Notamacropus eugenii: one gene and its partners. The protein of the gene in region 2 purifies or fractionates together with the protein of the main gene of each other region. This does not show direct contact. Links are inferred from orthologs where the notes say so. Each region holds a gene or a part of one and is shown on either strand. Other genes may lie near its edges.

Region 1 (3,747 bases), on a different chromosome or scaffold from region 2:
GGTTCAAATTCTGCCTCTGATATGTCAGACCATCTAGGACCATGTGGGCAAGTCATGCCCCCTCCCACTCTCCATCAGCCCTCTCAAATTATAAATTGCAGAGGAGATGGTGGCACTGGCAGTTTTCTCCTCTGGGAGCTCCCTGTCCCAGTGAAATCCCAGGTCCATTCCCTGGCCCTGTCAGTGAATGAGACCGCCAGCACCTTTTGCTCTGCCCCATTCCTTCCTCCTCAACTTCCCTTGGACACCCCTTGGTGAAGAACAAAGAGGAACAGGCTCCAGCCCCAGCTCTGCCCTGGCCTTTCCAGGGGAGTCCAGAGTCCTCTGTGACCAGACCACCCAGCAGCCCCTAACAGGGCCCTCTAGCAGAACCAGGGGGTAGCTGGCTTCCCCACCAAGTGCAGATGAAAAGGAGTCAGGAGAAGCTGCTCCAGGCAGGCACCCTGCAAACAGCAGGAAGCAACAGCAAAGACCCAATGAAGCCCATGAACAGTAGACCCAGGGCATGGGGGAATGGCCCCATGTGCTCCAACTGTATGACATGAATAAAAGTGCATGACAATCATCTTGAATGGGCACAAGAAGGTGAAATCTGTTCAGGAGCCTGTACATAATGGAGATAGAACATTTTTCTCTGGGGAAAAAAAGTCACCTAAAATGGTTAAACCGTCTACACAACTGTTGGGGCTTAAATAAAAAGCAGCAGCATTTCTATGGCTCTTTCTGGCTGACAAAGCACTTCACATATATGATTCCAGCGATTCGGGGGAGGGAGGCAGGGGCTCTTATTCCAATTTTACAGATGAGGACACTGAGGCAGAGAGCAGTCTTGTCCAGGGTCGAACAGCCAGTGAGTGTCAGAGGCCTGATATGTATTCTGCTATGCCACCCCCAGTCTTTGCCCTGCTCCCCAATTCTTTGGGGTTTCTTGTGCCCACTCTGCCTCCTGCTCATCAAAGGCAGGGGCTGCTTCACCTGTCTTCCCTTCCCTCTCAGCCAAGCCCGGAGGCTGCAGGAAGCAGGCACCCAAGCGCTGCCTGGACAAGCACATCCCTTCTGCATGCTGGGGCCCCCACTCGCCTCGCTTCCAATGGCCTCAGTCTTTGCCTCTGGGGGCCCCATATCCTGAGGCTCCACTAAGTCTCTCATTCTCAAATTCCCACCAGACACATAAGCTCATAGCTGTATTGCTGGGACTTCAGACTGTCGAGTTCAACCCCTCCACTTAAAGATAAGGAAACTGAGGCCCAGGAGGGTGAAATGATTTGTCCAGGGTCACAAAAACGAGCCCCAACTTGATCCCAGATCTAACACTCTTCTCCCACACCAGGGGGCCAATGAGCCCACAACAGACTGCTTTACAAATACTGCTAGTCCTGGGGTCCTGCCCTCCTCCCTGCAGCCACTGCCCAAGTCGCCCTTCCCCACATTTAACCCTCTGATTTTCGTTCTGGGGCGGTGACCACAACGCCCCTCATTCCCAGGCCACCTCTTCCCCTATGCCAGGGGTCCTACATCAACCAATACCTCCCACCTATGTTGCGGGGGGCGCAGCGGGTGTGGGAAATCAGGACCCCCACTGAAAATTCAGGGCACCAGGGGGGCTGCTGGAGGAAGAAGGGTCACGGCTGGGATCTTCTGAGAATGTTCCCTCGACCCCCAAGAGTCAGAAACAACTAGAGGGGGCGCAGCTGCCGAGAGGCCGAGCGAGGGCTCCCCTTCCACAGCCCTCCCCGGGATCTCCCCTAACCCGTACGGGGTGGGGTGAGTGGAAGCCGTCTCAGGGCCGGGGTCTCTTACCCTCCTCCGCCCGGGGCCGCCCCCCAAGCGCCTCCTCCGGGCAAGGGGGTCACTCCGCCCCTCCCGCGGCGGGGGGCGGGGGTCTTCTTTGTCCCCCTTCTCTCCCCGGCGGGAGCAGGAGCCGAGGTCGCCCATGGGGGTTCTCTGTCCCCCTCCCCTCCCGTGCCGTGCCCTCCTCGGCAGGAGCCCGAGCCCGGGCGGGGGGGTCGCTCCCCGCTCCCCCTCCCCTCCCTGCTCCCCGCTCCCTCCCGCGGGGGGGGGCGGCGGCCATTGCTCTCCAAGATGGCGGCGGCGGCGGCGGCGGGTGAGGGGCCCGCGGGCCGGGGCAGCGGCGGGGGGCGGGCCGGGCCGGGCCGGGGGCGGGTCCTGGCGCGGCGGGGGGCGGGGGGCGGCGGCGGCTCACCTGCAGCTCGGCCCGCTCGGCCTCCCAGCGCGCCTTCTCCGCCTCGAAGCGCGCCCACTCGTGCTGGATGAAGTGCAGGATGCCGGGCAGGCTCAGCGGCTCGGGGCCCGCCCCGGGGCTGCCCCCGCCGGCCCCGCCCCCGCCGCCGCCGCCGCCCTTGGCGGGGCCGGGGGCCGGCGGGCGGCAGGCGGGGGCGGTCGCGGCGGCGGCGGCGGCGGCTGCGGCGGCGGCGGCGGCGGCGGCGGCGGCGGCGGCGGGGGCCGCTCGCTCCTCCATCATGGAGGCCGGCGGCTGGAGCGCGCGCGCGCCCTCGCGGGCCGCCGCCTGCCCCGCGCGCCTCCCTCGCGGACGGCGGTTGTCCGCGCGCACGCGCGCTCGAGCCCGAGGGGAGGGGCGGGGGGGGAGGGGAGGAGGAGCCTCGCGCAGCTGTCGCCGCGCGCCCGCACGCGCACGCGCGCTGTCACCTCCCCGAGGGAGGCGCGCGGGGCGGCGGCCGCGCGCCGGGGGGGGGGGGGCGGCGGCCGCGCGCCGGGAAGGCTGCCCTTGGTCCTAGCCCTTTGACACCCCTCCCCTCTCCGCCCTGCGGAGCGCCCCAACCAGACTCGGGCTCCTGGCTCCGCCCCTCGCTCCAGTTACTGTAGCAACCGACCGGCCTGGCCGCATCCTTCCCCTCCCAGCCTCCAATCCGAGACGCCTCCTGGCCCGCCGGTTACCACGGCAACTGGCCCAGCTCTCCACGCCCCCCTCCCATCCAGCCCCTCCTTAGGCCCCTTCCTCCCCATCCCTACGGGGTTGCCAAGCAACGGGCACCAGTCTGCACCCTGTCTCCCGCCCCCCCAGCCCCACTGGTTGCTATGGGAGCACCGCCCCTGCACCCCCGCTGTCCCGGAGACTCCAAGCCGCCAATCCCGGATCTCTTTCCCCCCGTGGGTTACCATAGCAATCCTGCCGGTCTAGGCGACCCTCCCCAGCAACCCCCAGCCGATCCCGGCCCCTCCCCCGCCGGCTGGTCGCCATGGCAACACTTACCTGCTTCCCCCGGGCCAGGATCGGTGGCGGCAGTAACCCTTGTCCCTCCCCCCAATTCCCATAGGCCAGTTGCCATGGCAGCTACCATAGAGCTGTTGCTATAGTCACCCTAATCTGTCCCTTCCCAGCATCTGCTTAGTCCACCCCGGGCTGTGTGGGTTGCTATGGCATCCGGGCCTAGTACCACACCTAGACCCCGGTGTGCGAATGCCCAGGGAAAGAGAGGGTGATGGCCGTGATCCCTCCCCCCTCCCCAGGCGGGGAGGAGAGTAGGAGGGGGGTCCTAAGGAGGAATCGTGGTTGCTGTGGGCCGTCCTTCTCAGTCTGTTCAGGGCGTCCAGACCCGTCCCGGGATGGGATGCTGCGCTTGGGGAGAGCTGCGAGCTTTGCAGCGGGGAGCAGGGAGGCAGGTTGCTGCGGTTACTGGACATCAGGCTGCCTCCTTTTCATTCACCCCTTTCCTAAATCCAGACGGATGCAGACAGGGAAGGAGTTCCAAGTTACCAAAGGTTACT
Region 2 (3,747 bases):
TTCATTCTTGCCTCTATTTAGTTCTCCTGTCTAAATGTTCTCTACTCCACTTCACTCCACCTATTCCAGCCCTACCCATCCTTCAATACGCAGTCTCAGTGCATAATAAAATTGCACAAGGGGAGTCAGAAACCCACAAAGTGTCACCTTATCAAACTCTACCTCTTAGTAGTTTTCATCTTCCACAGTAATGAATGTTGGCTCACCTCCCTCCTTTCCACCCTCATGAGAGTCTTGAAGGCTGAGCTTTGAGGGCAAAGATAAATTAAAGGTGCACACATATTCCCGATCCCAGGGAGCTCCCACACCAAGGGGAGAACCAGAGCTGTCCTAGGTTTGGGTGTGATGTGAGTGGCCCCAAGGCAAGTTGTCCCGAACAAATACACTGCTTTCATCAGCTGGACAGCGAAATCAGTTAATTCGACCTATCAACAATATTTACTACGAAAAACTCCTGGTTTAGTCAAGGACTTGGAGAAACGTCCCTACTTAGAAGTACCCCTGAATGACGTTCTAAGCCTCCCCTAGCTGGAGAGCATTTCCTGGGCTCCGGTACCTGCCCTCTCCCACTTGCATTCTCCCTAGGCTTTCCCTGCGGCACTCCCTCCCCCAGTGGTTCTCCGGTTGCCGTGACGACCAGGGTGGGTGGACAGCCTGTCCTAAGCCTAGCCTAGACTACCCTATCCCGAGGCCCGCTTTCCCCCTTAGCGTGGGGGGTTGCCATGGCAGCCCCTCCAGAGTTGTGAAGGGGAACTGGGTGTCGTTCCTTCCCCCGCCCCGCCCCGCCCCGCCCCGCCCCACCAGGTAGGTGGCTCAGTGAGAAAGTTAGGGAGCTAGTTGCAATCCTGGCCGGCGGGAGGGGAGAAGGTGGCGTGCAAGGGAGAAGAGGCTCCGTCCGGCGCACGCGCAACAGTTATTCCGTGCACTCTGGACCATCACATCCCGCACCTTTTCCCCACACCCACTTCCTACTCTCCCCGTCCTTCAGCTGGTTCTCGCGCGTGCGCACAGCCTGTCCTCTTGCTCCTTCCTCCCACCCTCGCTCGAAAAACGCATGCGCAGTAGAGTTCAGGGGCTCCCGGTCGCGAGTTCAGAACTTGAGCTCCTGTCAGTCAGTCAATCGGAAAGGCTCCTTTCGGTCAACTTGTCTGCATCTCGTCCCCCAACCCGTCTTTCAGCGAAGGGAAGGGGAGGCGAAGCGGAGCGCCGATCCCCTCTTCTCCCCCAATGGGGCAGGAACGACAACGGCAGCGCAGTAAGGGAGCCGGAGCCTGAGCCTGAGTGACCCCGCGTCTCTCCTGGGCCCGCCCAGTCTGAGCCTCTCGGCTCGGGCTCCGGCCCGGCCGCCGCCATGGGAGACCCCGCCCCAGCCCGAAGCCTGGACGACATCGACCTGTCCGCCCTGCGGGTGAGTGAGCCCTGCCCCCCGCACCTGGGCTGCCGCCAGCGCTCGCCCTTCCCCTCCCCCTCCACGTACGGAATCGTTTGGCCCGGGGCGCGCGCGTCCTGGTCCTCGGGAGGGACTGGAGGAGGTGATTTGGCACCGGGTCCCTGGGATGCACCCCCACTTTAAGGGAAGCCCCGCCCCCTCACGTGGAGACCTCTTTAGCCACCTCTCCCCTTTTCTCTCTCTTCCTTCCCCTCTGGGCCTTGGCTTTCCCCCCAATACCTCCGCACACACCTGCACCCCTGTGCACTTGCCCTCCGTCACCACCGCCTCTCCCTCCCTCCTTCCTTCCTTCTTTCCCCCTTCCTCCGCCATTTAGATTTCTCTCCTCCCTGATTATACTGCCCCTTCCGGCGATTTCTACATGCCCAGCACCCCCATCTTCCTCGTGATCCCTCTGCAACCTTGGACCCTCGTATCCCCTTCCTCGGGACTTTTCGTCCTTTGCGAATGTTTTGGAGATGAGCGTCCTTCCCTTTCCTTCTCTTTCCCCCGCCCCTCTGACACACTTTTCCTATGCCTGACATTCCCTAGCCTCCCTCACTTGTCTTTTCAACCGCCCTCCCCCCTCAAAAAATCACATGCAATGCGATTTTTGTGGCTTCTTCTCCCAGCCGCAGTTTTTAATGGCTGGCTTTCCTCCCCCTCCTTGGTTCTTTCATTTACCTTTGTCGTACTTACCTTCGGTCAGGACTTAGGATTCTGAAGCCTGTCTCACTCACTTCATTATATTAGAGCCTACCTCTTTATCACTCATCTCGCTGCCCGAGACAGTTTTCCCGATCTCTCTATTGAGAGTGAAGTAGTCTGCATATTACAGATATGAAACATTGTGAAATTAAAAAAGTCGATTATACCTGGTGTGGAGTTTAAGCTTTTCTGTCCAGACTGCATAGGCTGGTATGCGGACATTTGCTGCAAGCTAGTCTGGAGCTGTAGCCCACTAGAAAAAAAGATGAATGTGTAGTCTGGATGATGGGGAAGAAGTGTGGGTGGATGGTGACAACGAAGAGCCTTAGGGTGTGTGTGGTGGGGAGGTGTTTAGGGGACAGGGGCTTGGAAAGATTTGGTGATTTCAAGGTGGAAGACTTAAACCTGTCATTTCAGTGTTTTGTCCCAGTGCCCTTGGTGGCTTCACAACAGGTGTAGAAGGAGCAGAGTTTTCCATCTGGAGGCTAATCTTCTTGTCAGCCCTTGCTCAGCCGATTTGCTGGGATTTGAGTTAGCCAGGAAATGTGACCAATAATGGGAGAATATAGTTAGCTTTACAGATGCCCCTCATTTGGAGGGAATGAAGAGGCAGATGGAAGGGATGAAATAAAAGGGAGCAGAGTCATGTTGTTAATTGGGTGACACAGTTTTTTTCCTGCCATTTAGGTCATCATTTTCTTTGGTGTAGTGTCAGTCTATGAGACTTTGCTTCTTCGAGATGAAGTGATAAATTGTTAGGGAGGGAGAGAGTGATGTTTTAGTGAGTGGCTGTGAGATTATGAGGATTCAGACTGAGAAAACTGGTTAAGTGTAGAGTAACTTCGACTTGGTTAATGTAGACCCTTTCAAATAAAAGATCAGTTGGAATCCAGACTCTCAGCAAGAGGAACATTATGTGACATTCTCAGGGCCTTTCTTCTGTGACATATCTCTTCCCCACCCTCAAACAAGTCTTAGCTATTGATTAACCCAGGTGGCTGAGGTCCTGTGACTGGTGATTAAGTTTTCTTAAAAACAGATGAGTTAAAACTTTGCCGTTACAGCAATGTGAAACTCTAGGCTTGGCACATTTCTCAAGTGTTGGGGGATGGAGAAGTTGAGATAGTCTCTCTTATAGTTTTGGACAGGGAACCTCACAGTCCTTCTGCTAAGTGTACTGTGACCTTGGATGTGACATTACTGCTCTGAGCTTTTATCTTTCTGTTTAGAGAGATGTTAGACCTGGCTCTGACCACACACTCCCAGTTTCTACTGTTACTGGCTTCTTCCCCACCCCAACCCTCTGCGATGTAAGCATCTAGCTTCCATTTCTCCTTACCACCACTCCTGTCTCTGAGAAGCTTCTGTTTAACTTATTCTTTCATCCACCCGTTTACATATACATGTGCATACAATCCTCTTTATCAGAACCTACTTGGGAGTGTTGCTCTGTTGACAGGTCCTACTGGCTTTCTTCAGGAAACTAGGCACCTATCCTACCCAGCCTGTACATGCATACATGTTCCAACAGTACTGCCAAAGTGCTAACGATGCAAGCATCTTCTGCTCTGTTCCTGTCTGTCTTTCTGTGAGAAATGGAAAATGGAGGC
Region 3 (3,747 bases), on a different chromosome or scaffold from region 2:
TAATTGATGTCCCTATTAATATTATCACAGATAGTAAATATGTATCAGGGTTAATACCCAATTTAGAGACTGCCTATATTCCTACACGTCAGGATTCTATCACACATCTTACTTTAGAAGCACAAAAGGCTATTAGAGGTAGATTTAATAAATTCCATGTTTTACATATTCGATCACATTCTAATTTACCAGGTCCCTTAACTGAAGGCAATGCAATTGCTGATGAAGCCTTGCAAGTTTTTCATGCGGAGTCATCTCCAATATTAGCTCATTCCAAATCTCATTTGTCTGCATGATCTCTTAGACATTTATTTGGCATAACAAAAAGGGAAGCAAGGCAGATTGTAAAGGCGTGCACCCAATGTGCTCCATTTCTTCCACCACCACCTATATACTCAAAAAATCCTATAGGTGACTGCCCAAATGATATTTGGCAGATGGATGTCACTCACTATTCATCATTTGGATGTTCTCAATATATACATGTATGTATAGATACTTTTTCAGGCTTTCTTATGGCAACTGCTCGCTCTGGTGAAGCAGTCAAAGATGTGACAACTCACTTACTAGCATGTTTTGCTAATCATGGAGTGCCAAAATGTTTAAAAACAGATAATGGCCCAGCCTATATATCAGCTGCATTTAAAAAATTCTGCTATGAATTTTCCATCTATCATGTTACTGGCATTCCTTATAACCCTACAGGCCAAGCCATTGTTGAAAGGGCAAATCGTTCCCTCAAGGTTTACTTGCAAAAAACAAAAAGGGGGAATTACACAAGGCCATCAGGCATCTCTCAATTTAGCCTTATACACATTAAATTATTTAAAGTTCAATGATAAGAATCTTTCAGCAGCCATGAAATATGCTATTGCTATAAAAACATCAAGAGGAACTTCACTTCTAGAAAAAACACAAATAGAGAATGAAGGAAAACCGGCAATGTGGCGTGATGCAGAAGGACAATGGCATGGTCCGGGAAAAATAATCATATGGGGAAAGAGTTATGCTTGTATTTCCACAGGAAAAGAGAAAGAACAGTGGGTCCCAGTACGCAGGCTTCGGCTGATAGAAGAAAGAGACAATGGGAAGAAAATCACAGGGCAAGAGACTGAGAGCAGCAAAGCGGAGAAAGAAGCTGGAAGAACAAATAAGGAGTCTTTGTCTTCAAAATGAGGAGGTTGATTCTGTTTCTCTTACTGACTCTTGGGGCTGGAGGACGTCCAACTCCGACCCAGGAGACAAGTGGGAATGCACATCACTGGGCGTTCATCCCGAATCCTCCGTGGGTGAGGGTCATAAGATGGGGTGAAAAGATACCAACACCAGTATTACATGGCAGTTTGTCACACATGTTTGGGGGTGCAGGCTTTGAATTTATAGGTAAATCAAATGGTTCACAGCCAAGAATGAACTTTACTAGATTGATCACAGGATTACCGCTCTGTCTTCAAAAGAAGGTTGATGGACGATGGAATGGCACTGCATGGGTTTTTAATGATATAGCGGCCGATATGACATGGTGTGCAAACATAACTCTGGGACATGAGACTTTGGGTTATCGAGGGGACTCTAGACTCTTTCACCTATGGACTTGGGTCATTGAGGGACAAGATATGGATCTAAAACGAGAAATAAGTTTGAGATATAGACCATATTGTACAAAAATGGATGGGGCACGAGACATGGGACAAAAATGAGAAGTGATTTTTAGATTTGGGCCACAACGTGGAAAGAGGGATGATCCCAATGTCTCCATTTATTGTAATTATTCAGGTTTTGTACCATTTGAAGATTGTCAGTCACATCAATGTCAACAGACTGTGTTATTCTTAGAGCATTATAATAAGAGCCTTATTTCCTGTCACAACCTATCGTATTTTGGGCCAGATCGCTATGTCTCAGGATATCCTAGTCCTAGATATGTTACTAACAAGGGTTCTTATACAGCAGGGATTGAACGGGTGATTGCCACTATTGGGGGACAGACAGTATAAGGTTTTGTAGGACCATTTATAATTGTAGCACCAAATGGTACTATAATTACAAACCGTATTAGTCTTACGGCGCGAGTGTGTTTAGGATCATCTCATGCCTTTATGTGGGATCGTACAAGTCAGTCTACACTCGTGCCACATATGAATATGACAGGGATATTCAATTTAACTTGTCCGAATTGTTCGGTACATGAATGCATAGGGCCACAATTTGATAAAGGAAGGCTTTACATCATTACTAGGCCAAAGTATGCACTCACAGTAGTGAAAACACAAGGATGGTATCGCACTCCGGCTGACAATATTATGTCAGTATTAGATCAAAAGACAGCAAGTTTGATGTGATTCAAAAGATGTATCTCATGTGTAGTGTTAGGTATAACCTTATTAGTTGAGCTAATTGTTAGTTCTACTGCTCTCGCAATGTCTGTCTCTAACACGCAGAATAGTGTCCAAGAAGCGAGTGCTCTTCATGGTCTCATGCGCAATGTCTCAGAAGGATTTCAATGTCAGGCTCAAATGGATAAGGAATTTTACAATGCTGTTCGTGCTTTACAGAAAGCAGTACTGTTCTTGGGACATGAAGTTGCATATCTAGAATTACAAGCAAAGTTACAATGTGATTATAGGTATAATACTTTTTGTCTTACTCCAAAACAATATGATGCAACTGAAATAGCATGGGAAAAGATTCGGGCTCAATTACAAGGTGTAGTCAATGATAATGTGACCTCAGAGCTCCAACAATTGATTCAATTGGCAGAATATATCAGTCAGGCTTCCCATGAAGACCTACTTCCACAAAAAACTGTTCAACATATCTTAGATTTTTTCCAACATGCTGATCCCTGGCACTCACTAAAAACTTGGCTAATTTCATTGGGATCAGGATTACTAACATTGCTTATATTAGTTGCTATTATACCAATATTATTAAAGTGGATATTGTTAACAATTCGTAATTCCCTCTTCTCCACTAAGCATACCGTGCTGGCTATGAAAGAACAACTGTACCAAAACAAAAAGGGGGAGTTGTAACGGGACGAATTAGAGCTGACCCCTGTCCATCGCAGGACTCCACACTGAGAGCCTGCCTAGATAACCTGGGGGCTTGTCAGTAGGGGTGGAACTAGATGGATTTCAGGAGGAAGGGTCTCGTCTTTTTTGGCAACGTGGCAGTTCTTTGTCCAGTTCCGGATGTCCAGTGGAGAAGATACCCATATAAGGAATAATGTTAGGTGATAGGTTCAATGTATAGGCTTAGGAATGTTCACGTAATTAAGACTATATATGCATGTGAACTAGCTGGAATAAACGGAGTTCTCACCACCTTGTCTCCCACCTCATTTCATTATTCACTAGATCAAGGCCTCTTGCTGGACAAGAGCCTTGGGTCGGGGTTTAGGGATTCCCGAAATGGTCTAGGGGACCCCAACAGGAAAGGAATAGATGGGAGTCTAAAAGTATATCTTTTCAAAGTCTATCACTGACTTAATTTTGCTTCAGAGTAAATCAGTTTCACTCTTAAGTCCTATGTTTCCACACCTATAAAATGGTGTCAGTAGCCTACCTCTGGTAGACATAGGTATCAGAAATAGTTTAGAATGTTATAGCTAGATGGCACCTTAGAAATCATTTTTTTCAAACCTCTCATTCTCCCATTTCACAGATGAGGATTCTGAGAAGTGACTTTGCCCAGGTCATACTACTGCTCTAACAGTTATAATTCCCATCAGCCAGTTGACACTTC

Evidence for each region.
Region 1: the proteins of MINK1 (region 2) and STRN4 purify together in Homo sapiens (affinity purification with mass spectrometry; 3 studies listed by BioGRID and IntAct, with this or other methods). This does not show direct contact. The link is inferred for Notamacropus eugenii from reciprocal best matches to the Homo sapiens genes MINK1 and STRN4.
Region 3: the proteins of MINK1 (region 2) and CNOT9 purify together in Homo sapiens (affinity purification with mass spectrometry; 3 studies listed by BioGRID and IntAct, with this or other methods). This does not show direct contact. The link is inferred for Notamacropus eugenii from reciprocal best matches to the Homo sapiens genes MINK1 and CNOT9.

Annotation. Positions count from the first base shown.
Region 1 is NC_092876.1:28,840,687-28,844,433, forward strand, and holds the start of STRN4 (striatin-4), read right to left. Parts: upstream 2,483-3,747; coding exon 2,204-2,482; intron 2,105-2,203; exon of another isoform or gene 2,075-2,104; intron 1,951-2,074; exon of another isoform or gene 1,936-1,950; coding exon of another isoform or gene 1,801-1,935; intron 1-1,800. UniProt on the Homo sapiens protein: Calmodulin-binding scaffolding protein which is the center of the striatin-interacting phosphatase and kinase (STRIPAK) complexes.
Region 2 is NC_092873.1:79,245,325-79,249,071, forward strand, and holds the start of MINK1 (misshapen-like kinase 1), read left to right. Parts: upstream 1-1,010; 5' UTR 1,011-1,351; coding exon 1,352-1,408; intron 1,409-3,747. UniProt on the Homo sapiens protein: Serine/threonine kinase which acts as a negative regulator of Ras-related Rap2-mediated signal transduction to control neuronal structure and AMPA receptor trafficking.
Region 3 is NC_092877.1:317,097,529-317,101,275, forward strand, and holds the start of CNOT9 (CCR4-NOT transcription complex subunit 9), read left to right. Parts: upstream 1-1,039; 5' UTR 1,040-1,172; coding exon 1,173-1,289; intron 1,290-3,747. UniProt on the Homo sapiens protein: Component of the CCR4-NOT complex which is one of the major cellular mRNA deadenylases and is linked to various cellular processes including bulk mRNA degradation, miRNA-mediated repression, translational repression during translational initiation and general transcription regulation.